Linked DNA regions of Schizosaccharomyces pombe. Changing the gene in region 1 together with any one later gene gives a genetic interaction. Each region holds a gene or a part of one and is shown on either strand. Other genes may lie near its edges.

Region 1 (8,033 bases):
AGGCATCAATGTCAGATTTAATAAAGCTCAAGTTTGCAAAAAACAGTGCTGAAGAGTATTGTGATCCAGTTACGATGAAAAGCTTTACGCGCTTTTCACACATCGTGGCTATCCGTTCTACAGGGAATTGTTTTTCTTGGGATACTATTGAACGTTTGAACATAAAACCAAAACATTGGAGGGATCTCGTGAACGAAGAGCAATTTACCAGAGACGACATAATTACCATCCAGGATCCTCATAACGTTGAGAACCGAGATTTTTCGGCCATTCAAAAACAAAAGGAAACCGCAAGAGATGAAAAAATAACCAAGGCCAAAATTGCTTTACAAGCATCTCGCGCCAAGTCAACGGAGTCAACTTCATCACCTGAGTTATCGCATTCTCTCGATTCATCTAAATCTATAGCTTCTGATATGCCAATTCATCGCGCATCCCATACAACTGGTTATGCTGCAGCTTCCTTAACCTCCACATCATTTACTCCTGTAACGAAGAATGAAAGAGCAATTATTGCTGAAGAAGATTATATGCTTAACCATACGCGGATCAAGCACAAAGGATACGCGCGTATTGTTACTAATCACGGAGAAATTAATATTGAGTTGCATACAGACTATGCACCCCATGCTGTTTACAATTTTGTCCAGCTTGCCAAGCAGGGCTATTATCGTAATACAATTTTTCATCGCAATATTGCTAGATTTATGATTCAAGGAGGTGATCCTAGTGGAACTGGAAGAGGTGGTCAAAGTATTTGGGGCAAGCCGTTTAAGGACGAGTTTTGTAACCCTTTAAAGCATGACGATCGTGGAATTATATCTATGGCCAATCGTGGAAAAAATACCAATGGAAGTCAATTGTAAGTGTTTTCTTCTCTATTTTTTAAAAGCTTCAAAGAAATGCAAGTGCTAACCTGATTTATAGCTTTATATTGTATGGACCAGCGAAACATTTGGACAATAAACATACAATATTTGGTCGAGTTGTCGGTGGTTTAAATGTTTTGGATGCTCTTGAAAAAGTCCCTACCAACAGTAATGATCACCCCAAGTTACCAATCAAGCTTGAAGACATCATAATATTTGTAGACCCATTCGAAGAGTGGAAAAAAGATGAGCGGGAGAAGGAGAAACGAAAAAGACAAGAAGAAGAAGAGGAAAATAATTTAGACCGCACTTCTTGGACTGGGAGGGATTTATCGGCGTCTTCTACGGATCATTCTCTAAATGCGTCTGTTGGAAAATATCTAAAAAAGGAAGTATCACTTGAAGAAAAGACATTCACTTCTACTGTAAATCCCAAAAAGAAAAAAGCACGCACAGGATTTGGAAATTTTGACGCATGGTAAACTTACTAAGTCAAACGAAATATATACCAAACAACTTAATATACGGGACTTGTTAAATTATTTCTGAGTTTATAAGGTTTTTTAATATCATATCATTTATTGAACATTTTGTTGTACAGTAAGAAGCTTCGCAGGCAGCAAATATTGAACCTTTGCCTCTTAAAACAAACTGCTATCGAAAGTGTGGCATCCAAAATTGAAAGGAGAGAATTGCAAATTTGTGAAAAAGTAAAGGAAGTTTATTTTAAGGCATCTTCAAGTGAAGGGAAATGGTATTGGTATATGTAAGCGTCGACGTATCCCTCATGACCCTTAAGTCTACCAGCATCTTTGATAATACCGGCTCGTGTGAAATTTAGTCTTTCCCATAGTCGAATGCTCTTTATGTTGGTAGCGAAAACGAGATTAAACACGCTTGATTTGAAACCAATTCGAGGAGCAAAGTACAAATAGGCATTGGCCAAATTACGCCCAATGCCTTTGCTCCGGTGACTAGGTGAAACCAAAAATCCACCATTACAAATATGAGAGCATCGACCGGGATAGTTAGGCTTAATGTAGAAGGCACCGAGTAAGCTCGTTTTCCAGTCAATTGAAGCCGTAGCCAAATCTGGAGCAGGTGATGTCTCACTCTCAACAGGAACACAGATTACAGTACAAAATTTAAAAAAAAAGTCTTCCGCTTCATTGCGAGTCATTTTAATGTCGATTGGATAAGTCTGTCCCATCTCTATTTCATAGTTGATGAAATAAGTCAAGGTACTGAGTAATTCTTCTTTGTTCTTAACGTTTGTAGATTTATCAACGGCTATGCACCAAGCATTAAAATCAGTACATCTCCATGGAGGAATAGTATTTGGATCCTTCATGTTGGGATATGGATTATGAACAAAATTAAAGGGATTTTATAGCCATGTGGAGTAGATAATTTAAGCGACAAACACATAGATAAATTATCATCACTCAAACTCATCAAGATGCCATCTTGATATACAACAGGAAACAACTGTATGATATACAGAAATAATGTGATAAAATCATCAAGTCGAAGAGATAAATCAAATGATTAAAAATATGCAAGGAAGAAATCTGTTGCAAGTAATTCCTAGAGTACGGTAAAAAGCGTTATTTGTTAGAAGCAAATAATTAAGTATTTTAGAATATGAAAGCGAGACGAAGTAATAAAGCTCTCATTATTCATGTATTAGATGATTTTCGATTTTCTGTATGCTTGGTTAATGCTTGTACATATTCATGTCTGTGTATTTTCGGTTTGCGAAACATTAGATCGACTTCTACATCAAGCTAATGGAAACGGTTTAATATTTCGGTGCTATAGATTAAGTCTTTCTTCCTTGTTAACGAATGAAGAATCCGATATTAATTGTCTTTTCTTTATTCACTCATTGCAATTTCTCATATTCTTTTATTGTTTATTAAATAGTGAAGAATACATGTGAGATGATAATAAAAATAATGAAGTACAGTATAAAGTGAAGATGCGAAATTTTTAGGTTAGTGGTATTGGAAAATAATTAATTATACAAATTCCAAAAAAACACAATTCAATTAATATATTTATATTAAGTGCAGTACCTGAACCTCCTGTTTTAATAATAAAACGAATTAAAATGCAGTTACTTTGGAATTGACTATATTTTTGCTAGAGTTTTTTAATTATTTAAAATCTTTAAAATTTATTTTACCAATTTTACGTTCGCACAAGGATAAAATATTTACATTTCTAAAATAATTTAAAAATTTTCACTTTTAATCAAATGATTCATTTCCATCAACCAAATTAAAATTGTTCGCCTCATTTTTGGTTCTTTTAAATTCACCGATGCTTTTTCGTCTTTTGTATCCACGTCTCTCACAATTCATTTGCAAGTCAATTTTCTTTAGTATTGTTTCTTTTTTTTAAAATATTTTTCTTTTTATTTTCTCAATTGTGTCTGTCTTTCTTCGCAAGTCCACTAACCTTTATTTACATCAAAATCGGCCATGTATTAAATTTCACTAACTCTCGTTATTCTGTTTATCGATATAATTACAGCCTCCTTGTCGATGACATCATGCATCGAGCATTGATCATCCTATATAATCATCTCTTTGACCACTTCCGTCTATGGTCCATTGTAGCTTATACCATTGTAAAAGGGTAAAATCCTTTCATTCTACAGAGTTGTTAAAATTTGATTTTTAAATACTAAATTTTCTTAATTTATTCGGTTTTCACAGTGGATTCGCTTTTTCTGGGTCATTAAACAGTTAATTTGGTAGTTTGGTGAGACATCCTTGCAAATCAAGTGTTTGTATAACTTTTCAGAGAGTATAACATATCAACGTATTTATTGAAGTCGTTTGGGATCTCCTTTGTTAGTTAATTTTGGGTCAACGTGTGCGCTGTACATTTGACGTGTGTCGTGAGATTACAAAAAATTTTAGGGGTCGGTTTACTTACGAATTAATTCCCCCACGTGTGTGTTTTTAATCTTAGAAGACTAGCGCTTCTATAGAATTGACGTTTCTTGACGTCTTGTCATTCTTCTGTATTCCTTTAGAAACTGGCTATCTCCGTCTAATTTGCTTCCTCCTGATTTCGCGCGTGTGTCGTGCTAATTCTTTACTGCGTGTTGTATTCACCAAGTAGGAGTTTCCTTTAAATTAAAATATATCCTTTAGGGTATTTCTTTTTTCGTTCTTACTTTTTTTTTCATTTCAATTTCCCATCTCCCCCTTTGTTTCCTTTGTTATATTTTTGTTTGTGATCATCTGATTCCCCCTTTTCTATACATTGATTATTTAAGATGACTGCCAAAAAAAAAGAAGTTGATGATGAAAAGCGTCGCCGAATTCTGGAGCGCAATCGCATTGCCGCTTCTAAATTTCGCCAGAAAAAGAAAGAGTGGATTAAAGAATTAGAGCAAACTGCCAATGCTGCCTTTGAGCAATCCAAGCGTCTTCAGTTATTGCTGTCTCAGTTGCAACAGGAGGCTTTTCGGCTGAAAAGCCAATTACTTGCCCATCAGGGTTGTCAGTGTAGTGTAAAGATTCGTTCTGTCCTAACAGACTTTCAAACTGCTCACAATGCTCTCCACTCTCAACATATGGCTTACCGGCCGGTACAACCCCCTCCTGGTGATAACATGCTTGAATCTGTGGTTTCCGTTAGCCCTACTCAAATGCATCCATCATTGCAGGGTCTCCCTCCAAATCAACACCCTCAAATGCCCCCTTCTTCTCAGCAGCCTAATTCCGATGATGTCCAGCAACATATGTTCTCAGCAGCCGGGCTTCCTAGATCCCTTGGTGGGCCCATCTGAAAAAGAACATTTGTTTTCATTACCCCCCTTTACAATAAAGCAATTGATTTTAATGTGATGTTGCATGTAGATTTATGGCTCCTATTTTAGCCTAATGTTCTCTCCTAGATGACAGTCGGGCGTTTTTAAGTGTTGAATTACCGATGCATATGGAATTCTTTTCAAATTTCTGTCCTTATTATTTTTTTGCACAGACGTTTTCTTTGTTATGACCTTTATCTATTATTATTTCGAATTTCCTCGCCGGGTTTTCAAAATATTTGTCTTTATGAAATGTGAAAAGAAAATAACTTTACGATGCTTATAAACTTCTTTGAAGTATGACTTTGCGCTTGCTACATCTCCACTTACTTCTTCGATGTATTTGATTTGATTTCTTGAACTATTGCCAGATTGCCTATTCTCGTCAGTTACCTAAAACATAAAAAATGTTCTTCTTTCTAAATGTACAGATTTATAATTTCATTTGGCAAACTGAAAAAAAGATCTTAAGCTATTAATTTGGTTTTTTTTTTTAAAAAGCTCTGGTTGGAGCAACTGTGGTATGCTGTTGATTTTATTTGTAAACAGTAGAATGTCTCTTTTTTTCTTTCAGTTATTTATACCACAATCCGTGTATCATGATGCAAAAGAAGTGTCTGCGTTAAAGCATCACTTTCTTTAATTTCCCAACTGCATTCATTATGTAAATAAATAAATATTCACGTTATTACAATTTATCTCATTTATCCAATCTGTTCCATTTCTACTGCTCTCAACAGTATAGCACTCCTAAGAATTTAGGGAGGTACGGTAAATTACATGCATCTCGTTATTCACATGATTTCGCACCAATTTTTTTTCTCGTTAGGCTTTCCATTAACGAAATGCATAATACTTAAGTCAAAAAATTTTGGATGACCGAAAACAGTCACATTTTACAACAATTCACCACTTGAATTTGCAACCTCAATACCGTATTCTCCAACAACCAAAACACCAGAAATGGGTCGTGTTATTAGAGCACAAAGAAAGAGTGGAGGAATTTTCCAGGCTCATACCCGCCTCCGTAAGGGTGCCGCTCAGCTCCGTACCTTGGACTTTGCTGAACGTCACGGATACATTCGTGGTGTTGTTCAAAAGATCATTCACGACCCTGGTCGCGGTGCTCCTTTGGCCAAGGTTGCTTTCCGTAACCCTTATCACTACAGAACCGATGTTGAGACCTTCGTCGCTACCGAGGGTATGTACACTGGCCAATTCGTCTACTGCGGTAAGAACGCTGCTTTGACCGTTGGTAATGTCTTGCCTGTTGGTGAGATGCCTGAGGGTACTATCATCTCCAACGTTGAGGAGAAGGCTGGTGACCGTGGTGCATTAGGTCGTTCTTCTGGTAACTACGTTATCATTGTCGGACATGATGTTGACACTGGCAAGACCCGTGTTAAGTTGCCCTCTGGCGCCAAAAAGGTTGTCCCCTCTTCTGCTCGTGGTGTTGTCGGTATTGTCGCTGGTGGTGGACGTATTGACAAGCCTTTGCTCAAGGCTGGTCGTGCTTTCCACAAATACCGTGTTAAGCGCAACTGCTGGCCTCGTACTCGTGGTGTTGCTATGAACCCCGTCGATCATCCTCACGGTGGTGGTAACCATCAACACGTTGGTCACTCTACCACTGTTCCTCGCCAATCCGCTCCTGGTCAAAAGGTTGGTCTCATTGCCGCTCGCAGAACTGGTCTCTTGCGTGGTGCTGCTGCTGTCGAAAATTAGACCTCCTCAATCAAAATATATATTTTCTGGCAGTAAACAGTGTGAAAATGTGTTGATAGTCTTTAGTAGTGAGTAGATTTGCTTCGTTGTAGTCTTGGTAGGTATGGTGTATGCGTAACCCAAGAGCATATTAAGCTTGTAAACCCACATGTAAACATCCAATTTAATTGTCAAAGAGTTTCTCAATGTACTATGCTATTAATAACGATCAAATTTTCAAAACTTGATTAACTGTTTTGTGTAGTGCACTTAAATCCGGCTTTTTAGCAGCCAAGAGTACTAGAATACTTGCCGGCGATTGTTCATAATTTCATGGCATTAGTACCGTGGGCTAGTTTCGTAATGCATTTAACTCATGACTTTTAAGTTTATAAACTATCAGTTGTTACGGATACTTTAGTATGTTAATTTCGGCATTCTGCTACAATCATTGAAAATTGGAAATCTGTACACTTCCTCGATGTATGACAATGCACAACTAACAAAAATTCATTTCATTTCTTCCAGCATAAATGAAGGTAACTATAAACATGCACAATTTTAAAACCATATACGAGAAAGACTAAATCTACTTGGGCATAGGAGGGGTATCCATGAAAATCTTGGATCCAGCACCAGGAGGATATCTAGCACCAATTACCTCAGCGTTGTCACAAGCTTCACGAATTTCCTTAACAGTGGCATCGGATAATTTAACCTTGAGAGCGCCAAAGTTCTCCTCCAAGTATTTAACACGTTTGGTACCAGGAATGGGAAGAATATCGTCACCTTGGGCTAACAACCAAGCCAAACTAAGCTGGCCAGGTGTGATATTGTTGGCAGTGGCAATTTTTTCAATCTTTGTAACAAGCTCCAAGTTCTTGTAGAAGTTTTCCTTTTGATAACGAGGGGCCTTTCTGCGGAAATCGCCCTCAGGGAAATCATCAGGGGATTTGTATGCACCAGTCAAGAAACCACGGCCAAGAGGGGCATAGCAAACAATGGTGATATTGTTTTCGCGGCAAGCCTTCATGACACCAATTTCAGGGCGCTCAATCTCCAAAGAGAAGGGAGAATACTCAACTTGAACGGCACTGACCGGATAAACAGCGGCTGCACGACGAATGGTGTTAGCACTGCATTCAGAAAGACCAATGTAACGAATCTTTCCAGCTTCAACGCACTTCTTAAGGGCGCCCATGATCTTTTCAATAGGAGTCTCACCGCTGAAGCGATGGACGTAGTAAAGATCAATGCAATCAATACCCAAACGCTTCAAAGAAAGATCAAGTGCCTTTTCAATGTAATCAGGCTCGTTGTTCAAAGAGAGCTCGCCAGTCTCGGGATTCTTCTCATAGCCAAACTTGGTAGCCAAGAAAATCTCCTTACGGCGTCCAGTTTGCTTGAACCAACGACCAATGCACTCCTCATTGGCACCAAATCCGTACATGTCAGAGCTGTCCCAAAAGGTGCAACCCAAGTCAGCGGCATGAGTCAAGACAGCTTGGTTGGCTTCTTCGGAAGAAGGCCCATACATGGCGTGCAAACCCATGCAACCAAAGCCGATTGCAGGCACAGTATCGTTTCCAATTTTACGAGTAGGGATAGACATTTCTGAATTCCAATTTCCT
Region 2 (6,961 bases), 4.0 Mb from region 1:
TTGCGGTCGTTGACATTTTTATAGCAACCTCTCTTCTATTTGTGATAACTTTAAAAAAAAGTTGCACAAATATCGATATCGCCTTGGAATTACACCGAGTTAGGATATCCGATTTGCGTTGTTGGAGAAGGGCAGGGAACAATAGTAGGACCATTCACTCATATGCAGTATTTCATTATTAATGGGGCGCACCCAACACGTTAAAATAATAAAGTGCACGCTCAGTTACCTTATAACTAGACCAACCTTTTAGTAATGTTCAGCATTTGCAATGCAAGTCTGCTTTAGTATTAATGAACTACTACTTCATTTAAATTATAGTTAAAGATAAGGAAAGTTGATATTTTTCATTCAACCATTAATCATAATCAAGGTCCGTGCATTTGTTAACGGTAAACTGTTGAACATGTGAAAATTATATATATTTACTTTAAGCCTTTGTTCTCATTGGGTTTAAAAAAGCAACTAAAATACATTAGGAAGAAAAAATGAAAGAGCAACAGGATGTAAGAAATAAATTTACATTTTCACTAGCTTAACAATGAGAAAACACAAACAGCCAATTTTTTACGCGTCTGCTACGTGATTGAAATGGTAGTTAGAAATGTATCTGAACTCTTCACCATTAGATATTTACATTGTGCATAAATTTAATTATCCAGAAAAAAATCAGCTTAATACTCTTATTAATTCACTGACTTAAAAATTACTAAGTTTTGTTTGGAGTATTTAAAAATTGCTGCACAAGTTAATCGACAAAGTAAATATAAAAATTCAACTTACCGGTAAATATGTTGACACAAGAGCCGCGATACCCATACTGATCAAATGTTAACATCCATAGAACTACATTAATGCAATGAATTAGGATTACTTACAAAGCCATTGAAGTCGGAGATGAGCTGGGAGACGTATTTGCGTTCAGTAAATTTGAAAAGGTTAGGATAAAAGCAACCCATGCAATTAATCTTCTCGTTAACATGAAAATCCTAAAATATCTTACATACTTGAAACGAAGAAATAAAGCAGCCATACACGTGGCTGTGCTTACCAAACTCAAGCCAACTATAATAGGGTTAGCAAACTTAATAAATTATTTGACGAAAGAAAGGATTTAAAATATTCCACAATGAACTAAAGCTTGAGCGATTAAATCAGCGTAACTCACGATTGGGTTCAATTTGAAAGTGCTTTCTACTTTACCTTCTTCATTTGCTTTGACTCTAGCTTTGTAGGGAACGATTAAATCAGGTCGTTTAAGTTCTGCAGGCGCCATATTTTATGAATTTTCGTTGTCGAGACTTCAGAACTGGTGAATGGGATGGTTCCTCTACAAGAATATAATGAAGTTAGTAATAAAATGTGTAAAATGGTTTTAGGTTAGGTTATTTAGCATTCAAATATATCGTGGGGGTTAAGAGTTCTTATCCCACTAAGAATTTCAACTATTTTAGACTTGGCTAAGCATTAGAATTAAAATCGATTGCAGTACCACGTGGGGGCTTTAGCAAGTCATAGGAGGAAACTGATCCTACTTGGCGAGTGAGAAATGGATTTCTTTTAGCATTCTAAGTCTTCTATATAACAATTTAAAGCTCAAACATAATATAATATTATTTATACTATTTTAAAAATTTAGGAACCAAGCCAGGTGAACTTAAGAAGTTCAAAGAGCATTTAATCGTTAGATGAAATAATAAAAAAAAAAATTACACTCGTTCACTCGTTTTCAATTTTACGAATAGGTTTGGCAGGTGATCCTACAGCCAACGTATTAGGTGGGATGTCTTTTGTAACAACAGCACCCGCTCCAATTACACTGCCTTCCCCGATAGTAACACCTGGGAGAACTATAACTCCCATACCAATCCAAACATTGTCCTGAATCTTGATAAAATTTTGTTTGTTAGTTGTAAGATGTTTCAATAACTGGACTAACGCATACGTTAATTGGTAAACCAAATTCAATTCCGGAGTTCCTTGCTTTAAAATCCAAGGGATGTGTTGCTGTACATAGTTGAACCTGGAAAGACACCATTAGTATATTTATTTTTTGAATGAATGACTTGAAAGTAACTATATATATATATAAACATACATTGGGGCCTAGCATTACATTATTACCAATAGTAATTATGGCAACATCTAGAAATGTACAATTATAATTTGCAAAGAATTTTTTTCCAAAATGAACGTTAAATCCGTAATCAAAAGCCATAGGTGGCTCAATCTCTGGTGCTGAAGATTCGTCAAATACAAAAACTTCAGCCAACAGTTCAGCTCGTCTTTTAATCAATTCTGCTGGGCCTACATTTTCCAAATCTCCCATAGTGTCATTAAACCTTCGCATTAATTTTTTAGCATTACATCTCGCTTGAGTCAACTCCTCGTCGTAAGCCTTGTACCTGTTATTTAGTAATTAGAATATCTCCCTGCGTTCAATGTGACTTCAAACATGTCAACGAAGATGATATATTAGCTCGACAAGTTTTAAGCATTAGCCTTACGGTTGACCAGATATCATTTTTTGGTATTCAATGGTTTTCGGTATCATTTTTTGTACACGAGTACGAGTCATTTCTGTCGGAAAACAAGTATATTCACTAGCATTGACAATGGGACTAGTAGAGTTATCGATGTATAAATAGACTTATATATATATATATATATGTATTGATATCAATATTAACAAATTGCTGATAAAACTATACGGAAACTTTTTAGTGAAATAGTTTGTAAAACGTAAGTAAAAACATCTCGATGATATATAGCGTCAGCTGTTACACTACATTATGCCCCACTATGCAACATATCATTAATTGTCGCATTGCTTTATGTCTGGCCCCTACTCGTATTACCACCAGCATACCAAAATTTATCAAGTTACAAGTAAATAGTTAGTGTAGCTTAACAAACGCTGAGGGCCGTAAACTGACAAGCAATAACAAGATATGCAATGAACGTTGTCCGTCCCTTTTTTAATCTTGCTTTCCTCCTGTATCATTAAACTGATTAAACTGGGTAGTAATCCCAAACTAATGTCATATAAAAAAAAAATTCAAAACAACTTAAATAGTACATCAAACAAAAATTGATAAGTAAATAAGCAATAAATATGATTTAAAAATAAATCCAAAGTGTATTTATTAATCGCCCTTGAAGTGTAAATGGCATATCGTGTCAGATTAAATGCTCAATTTCTGACGGCTTCGGTTTGCTGCGCTTAAACATTTTGCTTTAGTGTTAATAAATTTCAACTATGGGATTTTTTCATCCTTCTTCATGATAACTAGATTATATGAAAAAAGCATCTTTAAGACAACCAACAATGTTTTAATATCAGTAAAGTGCGTCAAATTTCGCATCATTAAACAAATAATGTCACTTATGATTAACTGAGTCATTAGCAAATGAAATGTGAATTTACGGGTTAAATACTATCATAACTTTTAATTAATACTTATCAAGATAAAACTCACTGTAATAATGTCTTACAAAGGTCGGTAAACAATCTAATTAAACAAGGATCAGATAATAAATTGATTAAACACAAATTTTAATTTTTTTATATTGATATATAAAAACGGTTAACAAATTTTTCCATCAATAAAAAAAAAATGAATTACACTACGTTTCAAAGTTATAACTATTTTTTTATAACAAACATCAACTGAAAAGCAAGAAAATCTATATTCAAAAAAATAATATAAACGCTACAAAAAATCAAACAGTAAAGGGTTTCGAATTGCTTTTCTCTATAATTCAAATGAATTTCAAAATAATTGGGACAAGTTGCCAACACACACGCCATACTAATTTTGTGATACTTGCTCAACCAAAAATATGTAGCACCACATTCTCTATTTAAAGATTAGCGCAGCACAAGGAGCCGCTCGATAAAAGTGCTGCTACAAACGTTCAAGAACACAAGTTTATTCTTGTACCACAATTCAAGTGTTGCTATTGTTGTAAAAGGGCGTATATCAATCGGATTCAGTTTTTGCAATAAGTCTGACTGAAAAAAAAAATGGCGTCAGTGGAGGATGCCACGAAAGTTCAAGAAATGCTGGATGCGTTGAAGGCTGAATACAATGCTTTGGCTCATCATAGCTTCGCGTCCAAGGCGCGCGGAAACGACTATGAATCTTCTAGTACGTGTTTGAATAAAATAAATTAAATTAGCTATTTTTTGGAAACTAACATTCTGTTCTATTGCAGTGATACAATCTCAAATTCAAGAAATTGAAGCGTTCCGAAAAACCGTGGATGATATGTATGAAAAACAAAAATCTATTAGAGAAACGTAAGTTTTTATATGTTAAAGGTATCGAGGGATTATATAGTATCTACTTCTTTTCTGTGAAATTCATCATTATTTTATAATAGCATACGTGTCGCTCGAGATTTATATGCTTGAAGTAAAAAAAAAAAAACCTTTATAACATCTGTCTTCACCAATTTACTAACATTTATAGGTACGAAAAAGATATCAACAAGTTGAAGCGAGAGCTTGAAGAATTAGGTGTCGAAGCGAATACCGCAAGTTATAGAAATCGTGGAGAAAGATCTGAACTTGCCGCTTCTAATAATCAAGTTACCCATATTGATCAGGAACATCCCTCTCAAACCAAATCTACTTCTCAGCCTCCAAGTAACCATCTACCTGCCTTTCAGCAAATCCCTCCAATTCACCAATCAGCTTATCCTCAAAATAATGTTGCTGAAGTATTGATGCCTCCAATTCCTCCTTCAGTAGAGGCTTCTAGCGGGCAAAATTTTAATCAGGGAATTGCTTCTCAAAATCCCGCGATATCTACATCCAATTTACCTAGTACTACACCTTTATATATCCCTCCTGTTAATTACGGAGCAAATCAGGTTTCTCAACAACCAAATCCTCAATTGCCTGGTGTTTCCAATTATTATAATCCAAGTGCTACTTCAAAACCTGCTGTGAATGTCCAGCCACCGCGTATTCCTACCAAAGCAACTCCTTCGGCTGAACCTTCTATGACTGCTTCTGCGAATGCTGGTTCTATATCCCAAGCGGGTCCTGATGGAGAATATCAGGGAAGAGAACAGATTGCTCCAGTTTCAGATACAGAAGCTGCTAGAAAGACAACTTCTCAGAGTTGGTACGTCACTTATAACCCAGCATGCAAAAGGGTTTTTAATATTAATCTCGTGCACACACTAGAGCATCCCAGTGTTGTTTGCTGCGTTAAGTTTAGTAACAATGGCAAGTATTTAGCAACTGGCTGTAACCAGGCCGCTAATGTCTTTGATGTTCAGACTGGCAAAAAACTTTTTACTTTGCATGAAGAATCACCTGATCCTTCCCGTGATTTGTATGTGAGAACCATTGCTTTCAGCCCTGATGGTAAGTATTTAGTCACGGGAACAGAAGATCGTCAAATAAAACTCTGGGATCTCTCAACTCAAAAAGTTCGTTACGTATTTTCAGGTCATGAACAAGATATCTATTCCTTAGATTTTAGCCATAATGGGCGATTCATCGTCTCTGGTAGTGGCGATCGAACTGCACGACTCTGGGATGTGGAGACAGGTCAATGTATTTTAAAGTTAGAAATTGAGAATGGTGTGACGGCAATAGCCATCTCTCCAAATGATCAATTCATTGCAGTTGGTAGTCTAGATCAGATAATTCGAGTATGGTCTGTGTCGGGTACTTTGGTTGAACGATTGGAAGGTCATAAGGAGAGTGTTTATTCTATTGCCTTTTCGCCCGACAGCAGCATTCTTCTTAGTGGAAGTCTTGATAAGACTATCAAAGTCTGGGAATTACAAGCAACTCGTTCAGTTGGCCTTTCAGCTATTAAGCCTGAAGGTATTTGCAAAGCCACCTATACAGGACATACTGATTTTGTTCTTTCAGTAGCTGTTTCACCCGACAGCCGTTGGGGATTAAGCGGATCGAAGGATAGAAGTATGCAATTCTGGGATTTGCAAACAGGCCAATCTTATCTCACTTGTCAAGGACACAAGAATTCAGTTATTTCCGTATGCTTTAGCCCAGATGGTAGGCAATTTGCTTCGGGAAGTGGTGATTTACGTGCTCGCATATGGTCAATTGACCCTGCATCTCCTTGAATTTTTGTTCCTGTTTACATATAACTATTTGCTCTCGGAAATAGTTAACCGCATTGATTTTTGGTTACAAAGTTTACAAACTAAATTTTGTAAACTCTATTACTACACTGGTATATTTCCTTAATTTGTATCATATTTTTTTTGCAATATTATTTCCTTTACTTACGGTCACAATAGACAAATCATCACTCAGTTTTTTAATGTCACTAATTTTGGAGAATGGCTTCTCTCATAAATTAACTGAGACACTTTTTATTTAAAAAATAAACAATTAATAAAAAATTCCTTAATTTTTAATTTTAGTTCTATGATAAATGTTGCATAACTTGAGATAATACTTAATACTTTTCAATGTAGATTCTTGAAATACATGTGGTTGATTAAACATTTTTTAAATGGTTATTCTTGTATTTAGTAATTTGCATATCTCCACCTTGACTCCGAAATTCACCAACAGATTTATCATATACTCGCTAAAATTATGTATGTATTAACCATCTTCTGACTTCTTCAACGCGAAGAAGACTCATTGTTTCGATTTTATTGACTAAAACATAGAAATTGAATAAATCCTAATCGATGCTATATTGAGGTGTGCTTTTACAATCCGTTACAGTTCGATATCTGCACGTTTCTTAAGGCTATCTTTTCAGGAGTTTATAATAATCCTCCACGGCTTAAGCAGTCTATAATTTGGGTTTACTTCATTAAATCTTTAATTTAGCACTTTTTAAATATATTTAAAATCTTAATACTTAAATCGGTGCCAACCCAGGACCTATATTACGTTTGGGTTAAAGAAAAATTGTCGTTGTTTGCTGCATCGATTTATATCTAAGCTATGAAGGCT
Region 3 (6,293 bases), on another chromosome or scaffold:
CTTACTGAATGGTTCAAAATGTACCGTACTACGGTAGCCATATTAATTGGTTCGTCAAAATAAATCCTAAAGTGTATAGCAACGGTTTTTTCAAAGCTCACCTACTTTTTACTGATCGTCATTATAATTAGTAAAACAATAAACACCTACTAGTAGAATCGCCGATTTACCATAATTTCGTATTGCGCTTAATTCTCTTCCCGAGGTATTTTGTTATTGCGATGGCTTGCCACAATAAATTAACTATTGTACGATTGCCGTCACACTATTTCTATCTAAAAATACTCTCATTCCCATTCCCATTTTTATCTCTCCATCCATACTTACTACATATGTTGGATATCTATATCTGTCAAACTTTAACTTCGTTGAACATGCTAATTAACCAAAATTAATACATGAATTTATTAAATAGTTTTTTATTAATTAATAGAAATTTTCAAAAAGTAATCATTGAAAAATCGAACTATATTTTTTTTTTTTATATTATAGCAGTATATAGGTGCAGGAGTTACCAGCGACCAGGTATTAGCGTTTGCCAAAACAATTAGCTTTTCTCCCGAAAGGATTGCTTTTTGAAGTCAATTACTTTAGAAGCTTTCTAGCATCTATTTGATTGTTCAATTGGCATGGTTATTGTGCTCATCATATAAAGCGCAGTTGTTTCATTAATTAAGTATCTTAGCCTACATACTTCATCTTGATTTTTATAGATTCTTTAGAGTATTTGGATAAATACTTGACTTTTTGTTTAAGAGGCTATAGAAACCCTTGTTTGAGTTTCTTCATTTTTATTGTCTCGCGCTTTAGTGTATCTGCTTCAAAGTGGTTCAAGCTAAAAAAGCATAGTACTGTTTCGCTCTTTATTTCGCATCTGCCTATCATCAGACAATTCTGTTGACTCACTCGTTTTTTACACGCACATTTACCCTTGGAATAAAAGGCGGATTAAATCCCGAAGTTGAACACTCGTAAAATTTGGTTATTATATTTTTTGCATTATGAAGACTTATGAATATGTATTGCTGGTCATTATTTTGATCCTTAGCTTGTGTTACTTTATTTATAACAATTTTCTCAACAAGCCAAAGGCTCCTGAGAGGCGAGTCGTGGCTACCGACAGTATTGTCGAGTTGATGGAGGCCGAAAAGCTCACTGCCGCGGTTTTCTTTGGATCTCAAACTGGTACCGCTGAGGACTTTGCCTACCGTTTTTCAACGGAAGCAAAGGCAAACTTCAATCTTACCAATATGGTTTTCGATCTTGAGAACTATGATTTAACCGACTTGGACAACTTTGATAGATCAAAACTATTGGTATTCTTTCTCGCAACTTACGGTGAAGGTGAACCTACGGACAATGCGGAGGCCTTTTTGCAACTTCTTGAGGGCGATGATACCGTTTTTTCAAGTGGAAAAGGCATTGAAGATACTCCCTTCGAAGGAATTCGTTATGCAATTTTTGGCCTTGGAAATCATACCTATGAGTATTATAACGCAATGGCTAAAAAGGTAGATGCTGCAATGACTCGTTTAGGCGCTACTCGTGTGGGCAATCTAGGTTTGGGCGACGATGCCGCTGGTATGCTTGAAGAGGACTATTTACAATGGAAGGATGATACTTTACCTGAGATAGGTAAGCTGTTCCATTTGCAAGAAGTCCACAAGGAATACAATCCTATGTTTGAAGTTATTGAGAAGCCTGAAATTTCCAACACTAGTTCTACTGTCTTTTTGGGAGAACCAAGTCGTCAGCAATTGAAAGGAAATGTTGCATCGAAAGCTCCACGTTCTCAAGCTAATCCATTTTTCTCTTCTCCTGTCAGATCTCTTGAGCTATTCAAATCTGGAAGTCGTAATTGCTTACATTTAGAGTTGGATATCGCAGACTCTGGTATGCGATATCAAACAGGTGATTACGCTTCTATTTGTCCTATGAATCCTAGTCAAGCTGTTGATGATCTTCTCGAAGTTCTCGGTCTCAAAGAGAAGAGGGATACTGTAATAATTGTTAAACCTATCGATACTCTCGATAAGGCTCCTGTTTTAAGTCCTACTACCTATGACACTGTTTTTCGCTACTACTATGAAATATGTGGTATCGTCTCCAGGCAACTGCTTTCTTTTATTGCTCCTTTCGCTCCTACACCAGAATCTAAGCAAGAACTCGAGAAATTAGGCAACGATTATGACTACTTTAAGAAGAACGTTGTAGACTTGCACCTAAACCTTGCTCAAGTCCTTCGTCGTGTTTCTCCTGACGCTCCATTTACAAAACTTCCATTCTCAATGCTATTGGAAAATATGGCACACATGAAACCGCGTTACTATTCGATTTCCTCGAGCAGTGTAGTGCATCCTGACAAAGTTCACGTTACAGCGGTAGTTGACAAGAAAGAATGGACTGATAAGAATCATATCTTTTATGGACTAACTACTAATTATTTGTTGGCACATTGTCGTCATATGCACGGTGAAAAAATTCCACATCCAAATGGTTTGGAATATACCCTTGAGGGTCCTCGTAAAAACTGGACCGGAAAAATTCCGATGTTTGTAAAGAAATCTACTTTTCGATTGGCTCCTCCCGATGTCCCCATAATAATGGTAGGCCCGGGTACTGGTGTAGCCCCATTCCGCGGTTTTGTGATGGAACGGGCTAATTTAGCTTCTAAAGGAGTTAAAGTAGCAAAAACACTTTTATTTTATGGTTGCCAATATTCTGACAAGGATTTTTTATATAAGGAAGAATGGCAACAATACAAAGATGTCTTGAAAGACTCTTTTGAACTGATTACCGCATTTTCCCGTGAGCAAGATCATAAAATCTATGTTCAGCACCGTCTTTTAGAGCACAGTGATACCATTGCTAAACTTGTAGAAGAAGGGGCTGCTTTTTATATCTGCGGTGATGCTGATCATATGGCTAAAGATGTTGTGAATGCATTGGCTTCTATTCTGACCACTGTTGATGTTGACGGTATGAAAGCCGTTAAAGCTCTTCGAGATGACAATAGATTTTTTGAAGATACCTGGTAAGTTTGGAATTTATCCAGACTTTGCGATTACTTCAAGACTTAATGATGCCTTTTCATCTTAGAAATAGTTTAATACAATCATTATTCCACTCGGTATTTTTATCTATAGAAAACATAGTTTTTGTAGCAACTAACGAACAGTACTCTGTAACGTTATAATATCAAAAATAAACTGCCAACTTGAATTTCTTACTGCTCAAAAATGTCTACCGAAAATGCGAATCTACACAAAGTGCTGTGTTTGTCATGATTGAAAAACCTAAACCGACTTAAAGCTGGGTAACAAAGTAAACACTGGCAGTCGACTTCATTGCACTTCAATAATTAAGGCGATTGCGAATGTTTGATCAATTTACATACAATAGAAAGTATTTGATAATTCTTTTTTTGCTTTAAAAATACACGCATCAAGTTAGAGTACAGGATGCTATAAGTTAAATCCTCGGTCAATGTGTACTTGTCAACGCAAAACATTGAGTAATATGCGGAAAAGTTAAGTTTCCAAAAGTACAAGCATAATTAATACATGTATCCTAACTGTATAATAAAACTGAGCCTTTAAGTGTATTTTTTTTCTACGTTATCAAATCTAATGCAACACAATGCTATCCTTGATTTGTTTATTAACAGATTTCGCGCGCTCAAAAACTTACCTTTAACATATATTCAAACATTAAAGTATACATAATTTAAAAATTATTTACTTAAAGCATATAAGAGCGATGAATGGAATAATTACGCCTCAAAAACAAAAACAATTAATGTCTTCTCCTTCTCGTGATCCATTATCCACTACCGAATTGTCTACTCCAACAAGTCAAACAACTGTGGATGTCAATGACACGAAAAAAAGTGAAGGATTGGACTCTACAATTATACTATTAACACCAGGAACAAGCCCAAACGCAACGCCTGGTTCTAGCGAGTTAGGGCTTTCCAAGAAGCCAAACAGGTAAAGGGCTATTACAGATGTGTAATGTAATACTAACTAGGAATATAGTATAAAAAACAATACTTATTCTACAGCAGCACAGGCCGCGTATTTAAATAGGCGTGCTGCTGATCAATCAACCGTTATGACAACCGATCCTATTTCATATGCAAATAACAATATTAATAATGGAACACTGCCACAACAAAACGCCTACTATGCCAACTCTTATTATCCGTCATACTATGCACAGTCACAAGCCATTTCCAACAATCGACCGGGTGTCTCTGGATTCCGTCCTGCATTCAATTCTGTAGCTCCTTGCTATGGTTCACAATGGCAGACTCATCAGTCTGTTCACCCTTATCATGTTAACAATACTCATCAGTATTTAAAACCATATGTTCAGAATGGTATGATACACAGCTTATGAAAAAACTAATACTTACCAAACTTTTCGTCTTTTAGTATATCCTCAAATGCCCTCTTTAAATCAGCCGGGACTTCATATTGTCAATCAACCAACATATCTCGCGCCAGTTCCTTCAGCGACTGTGCCTACGAATTCAGTTTCTCTCTCGATGCCTTCTTTTTCCCAAGGGCAAAAAAATATTCCCGCTGCCATTAATCAAGAAATGAGTGTCGGTACAACAAAGGAGAATACAAATTACCTTTCTCAACTGGTTGGATTGCATCCTGCAATTCCTCCTGCCATTCCCAGCATGTTTCCCATGTCTCATGATAATAAAAAAAGTAACATGGAAAGCACTTCTCGTACTCGGAATGTTTACATTCGTGGTTTACCTCCCAACACTTCGGATGAAAATTTGTTGCTTTACACCAATCGTTTTGGTAAAGTTAGTAGCAGCAAAGCAATAATTGATATGGAAACGAATTTATGTAAAGGATATGGGTTTGCATGCTTTGAAGAAGAGAAATCTGCATTGATTTGCATTTCAGCCATGACTTTATGTGGATATCAGTGTTCATTTGCAAAAGAAAGTTTCAGTGCACGTCTTCAAAGTCTACAAGACACAGAAAGCACCAATCTGTATATTTCTAATCTTCCTCTTCATTGGAATGAAAGTGATATTTCCACATTGTTTAAACCCAGCAAAATCATATCAAACCGCGTACTTCGTGACTCTAAGGAACAATCTCGAGGTGTTGGGTTTGCTCGTATGCAAGATCGTAAAACGGCTGAAGACATAATTAATAAATTTAATAACTTTGTCTTGGATCCTGCTTTACCCCCATTACAAATCCGTTTTGCTGATTCCACTGATCAGAAGAAGTTTAAAGGTCAGACTCAGAAAAGAAGATTATGGCGTGCTCGTGAATACAGTGTTTTAACTAAGGGAATGACAGCTAATAATGCTTTTTCCAAAGTTGAGGAGTTCGCAAATAACTCTATGCCCTCTAAAGTTGGAATGTATGTGCCATTGGAGTCGAACACAGTCTATCAACATTCACCCACTTATGATACTTACGGTTGGCAAAGTATGTATCCCTCTTATTCCGTTTATCCCTCAAACTATGAAAACAGCAGAAGTACTACGCCATATCATGCCCATCCCGCTACTTCTGCTGCTAATTAAATTTAAACATCTTTCCAGCATTTACTTGAACATCAAACTCTAATATCGAAATCTTTTCAAACACTTATCACATACTCAAACTTAAACCAACATAAAACCTGTTAGACAAAGCTTACAATTAAGGGCCAAAGCTTTCTTTCTATGTTTTTTCTTTTATTTATTATCAGGTTATATAACAAAGGTCAAACCACTACAGTATTAATGAATGATATTATACATATTTGCTTAATCGTATAAAAAGAGAGAGGTATAAATAGTCCTTGAGTGTTCAAGATAATTGCACACTGTGAATTAAGAGGATAAAAGGGATGCAAAATTCTCCTTGATTATCCAACCATCAGATACTGATTTTCCTTTACGCACAGCGACTTTTCCAAGAGTTTCGCTGATAATATTTTTGGTTACGTAAGGAAACATGTGCCTCAAATTCTCGATCAGGAATACTTTGTTGTCATGAGAGTTACGGACATATTCTATAAATTTGGGTATATCTTCAGAAGGAAACCTTACTTGTAAATCATCAGAAAGTGAACTGGTAGGTCCAATTGTCATTCCACTAGACGCTGGAGCAGTATCTTGAGAAGCCCATAAATCCTCTTTAGGATCAATTTGGAGATATGTAGATGCTGAAAATGAACTAATGGGTTCAATTAAAGATAAGCAATTAAAGTCAGGAAGAAACTTTGAATCCCAAACCGGACCTTCTACGATTACCTCTAATGGGCCG

What was found.
Region 2: of pcr1 (region 1) and tup11, changing one suppresses a phenotype caused by changing the other (phenotypic suppression), as found in Schizosaccharomyces pombe (one study listed by BioGRID).
Region 3: of pcr1 (region 1) and spo5, changing one suppresses a phenotype caused by changing the other (phenotypic suppression), as found in Schizosaccharomyces pombe (one study listed by BioGRID).

The regions. Positions count from the first base shown.
Region 1 is NC_003424.3:4,249,047-4,257,079, reverse strand, and holds pcr1 (DNA-binding transcription factor Pcr1), read left to right. Parts: upstream 1-3,479; 5' UTR 3,480-4,161; coding exon 4,162-4,677; 3' UTR 4,678-4,938; downstream 4,939-8,033. Other genes in the region: cyclophilin family peptidyl-prolyl cis-trans isomerase Cyp8, read left to right, coding at 1-862, 928-1,351; L-azetidine-2-carboxylic acid acetyltransferase Aca1, read right to left, coding at 1,591-2,220; rpl801 (60S ribosomal protein uL2), read left to right, coding at 5,662-6,423; yak3 (aldose reductase ARK13 family YakC, implicated in cellular detoxification from family members), read right to left, coding at 6,992-8,014. UniProt on the Schizosaccharomyces pombe protein: Involved in regulation of gene expression for sexual development. Binds and activates CRE sites (cAMP-response elements, also known as M26 meiotic recombination hotspots).
Region 2 is NC_003424.3:298,778-305,738, reverse strand, and holds tup11 (transcriptional corepressor Tup11), read left to right. Parts: upstream 1-3,942; 5' UTR 3,943-4,027; coding exon 4,028-4,151; intron 4,152-4,218; coding exon 4,219-4,303; intron 4,304-4,327; exon of another isoform or gene 4,328-4,475; coding exon 4,476-6,111; 3' UTR 6,112-6,461; downstream 6,462-6,961. Other genes in the region: rhp6 (ubiquitin-conjugating enzyme E2 2), read right to left, coding at 1-16; protein pat10, read right to left, coding at 710-739, 784-820, 879-968, 1,008-1,065, 1,204-1,276; SPOM_SPAC18B11.09C (serine O-acetyltransferase activity), read right to left, coding at 1,720-1,887, 1,946-2,023, 2,099-2,405, 2,508-2,578; SPOM_SPAC18B11.11 (GTPase-activating protein), read left to right, coding at 6,953-6,961.
Region 3 is NC_003423.3:2,532,462-2,538,754, forward strand, and holds spo5 (meiotic RNA-binding protein 1), read left to right. Parts: upstream 1-3,688; 5' UTR 3,689-3,759; coding exon 3,760-3,989; intron 3,990-4,037; coding exon 4,038-4,381; intron 4,382-4,436; coding exon 4,437-5,566; 3' UTR 5,567-5,793; downstream 5,794-6,293. Other genes in the region: ccr1 (NADPH-cytochrome p450 reductase), read left to right, coding at 1,002-3,038; histone H3-H4 chaperone, CAF assembly factor (CAF-1) complex subunit A Pcf1, read right to left, coding at 5,858-6,293. UniProt on the Schizosaccharomyces pombe protein: RNA-binding protein which plays a role in sporulation. Regulates the progression of meiosis I and may function in the vicinity of the Mei2 dot.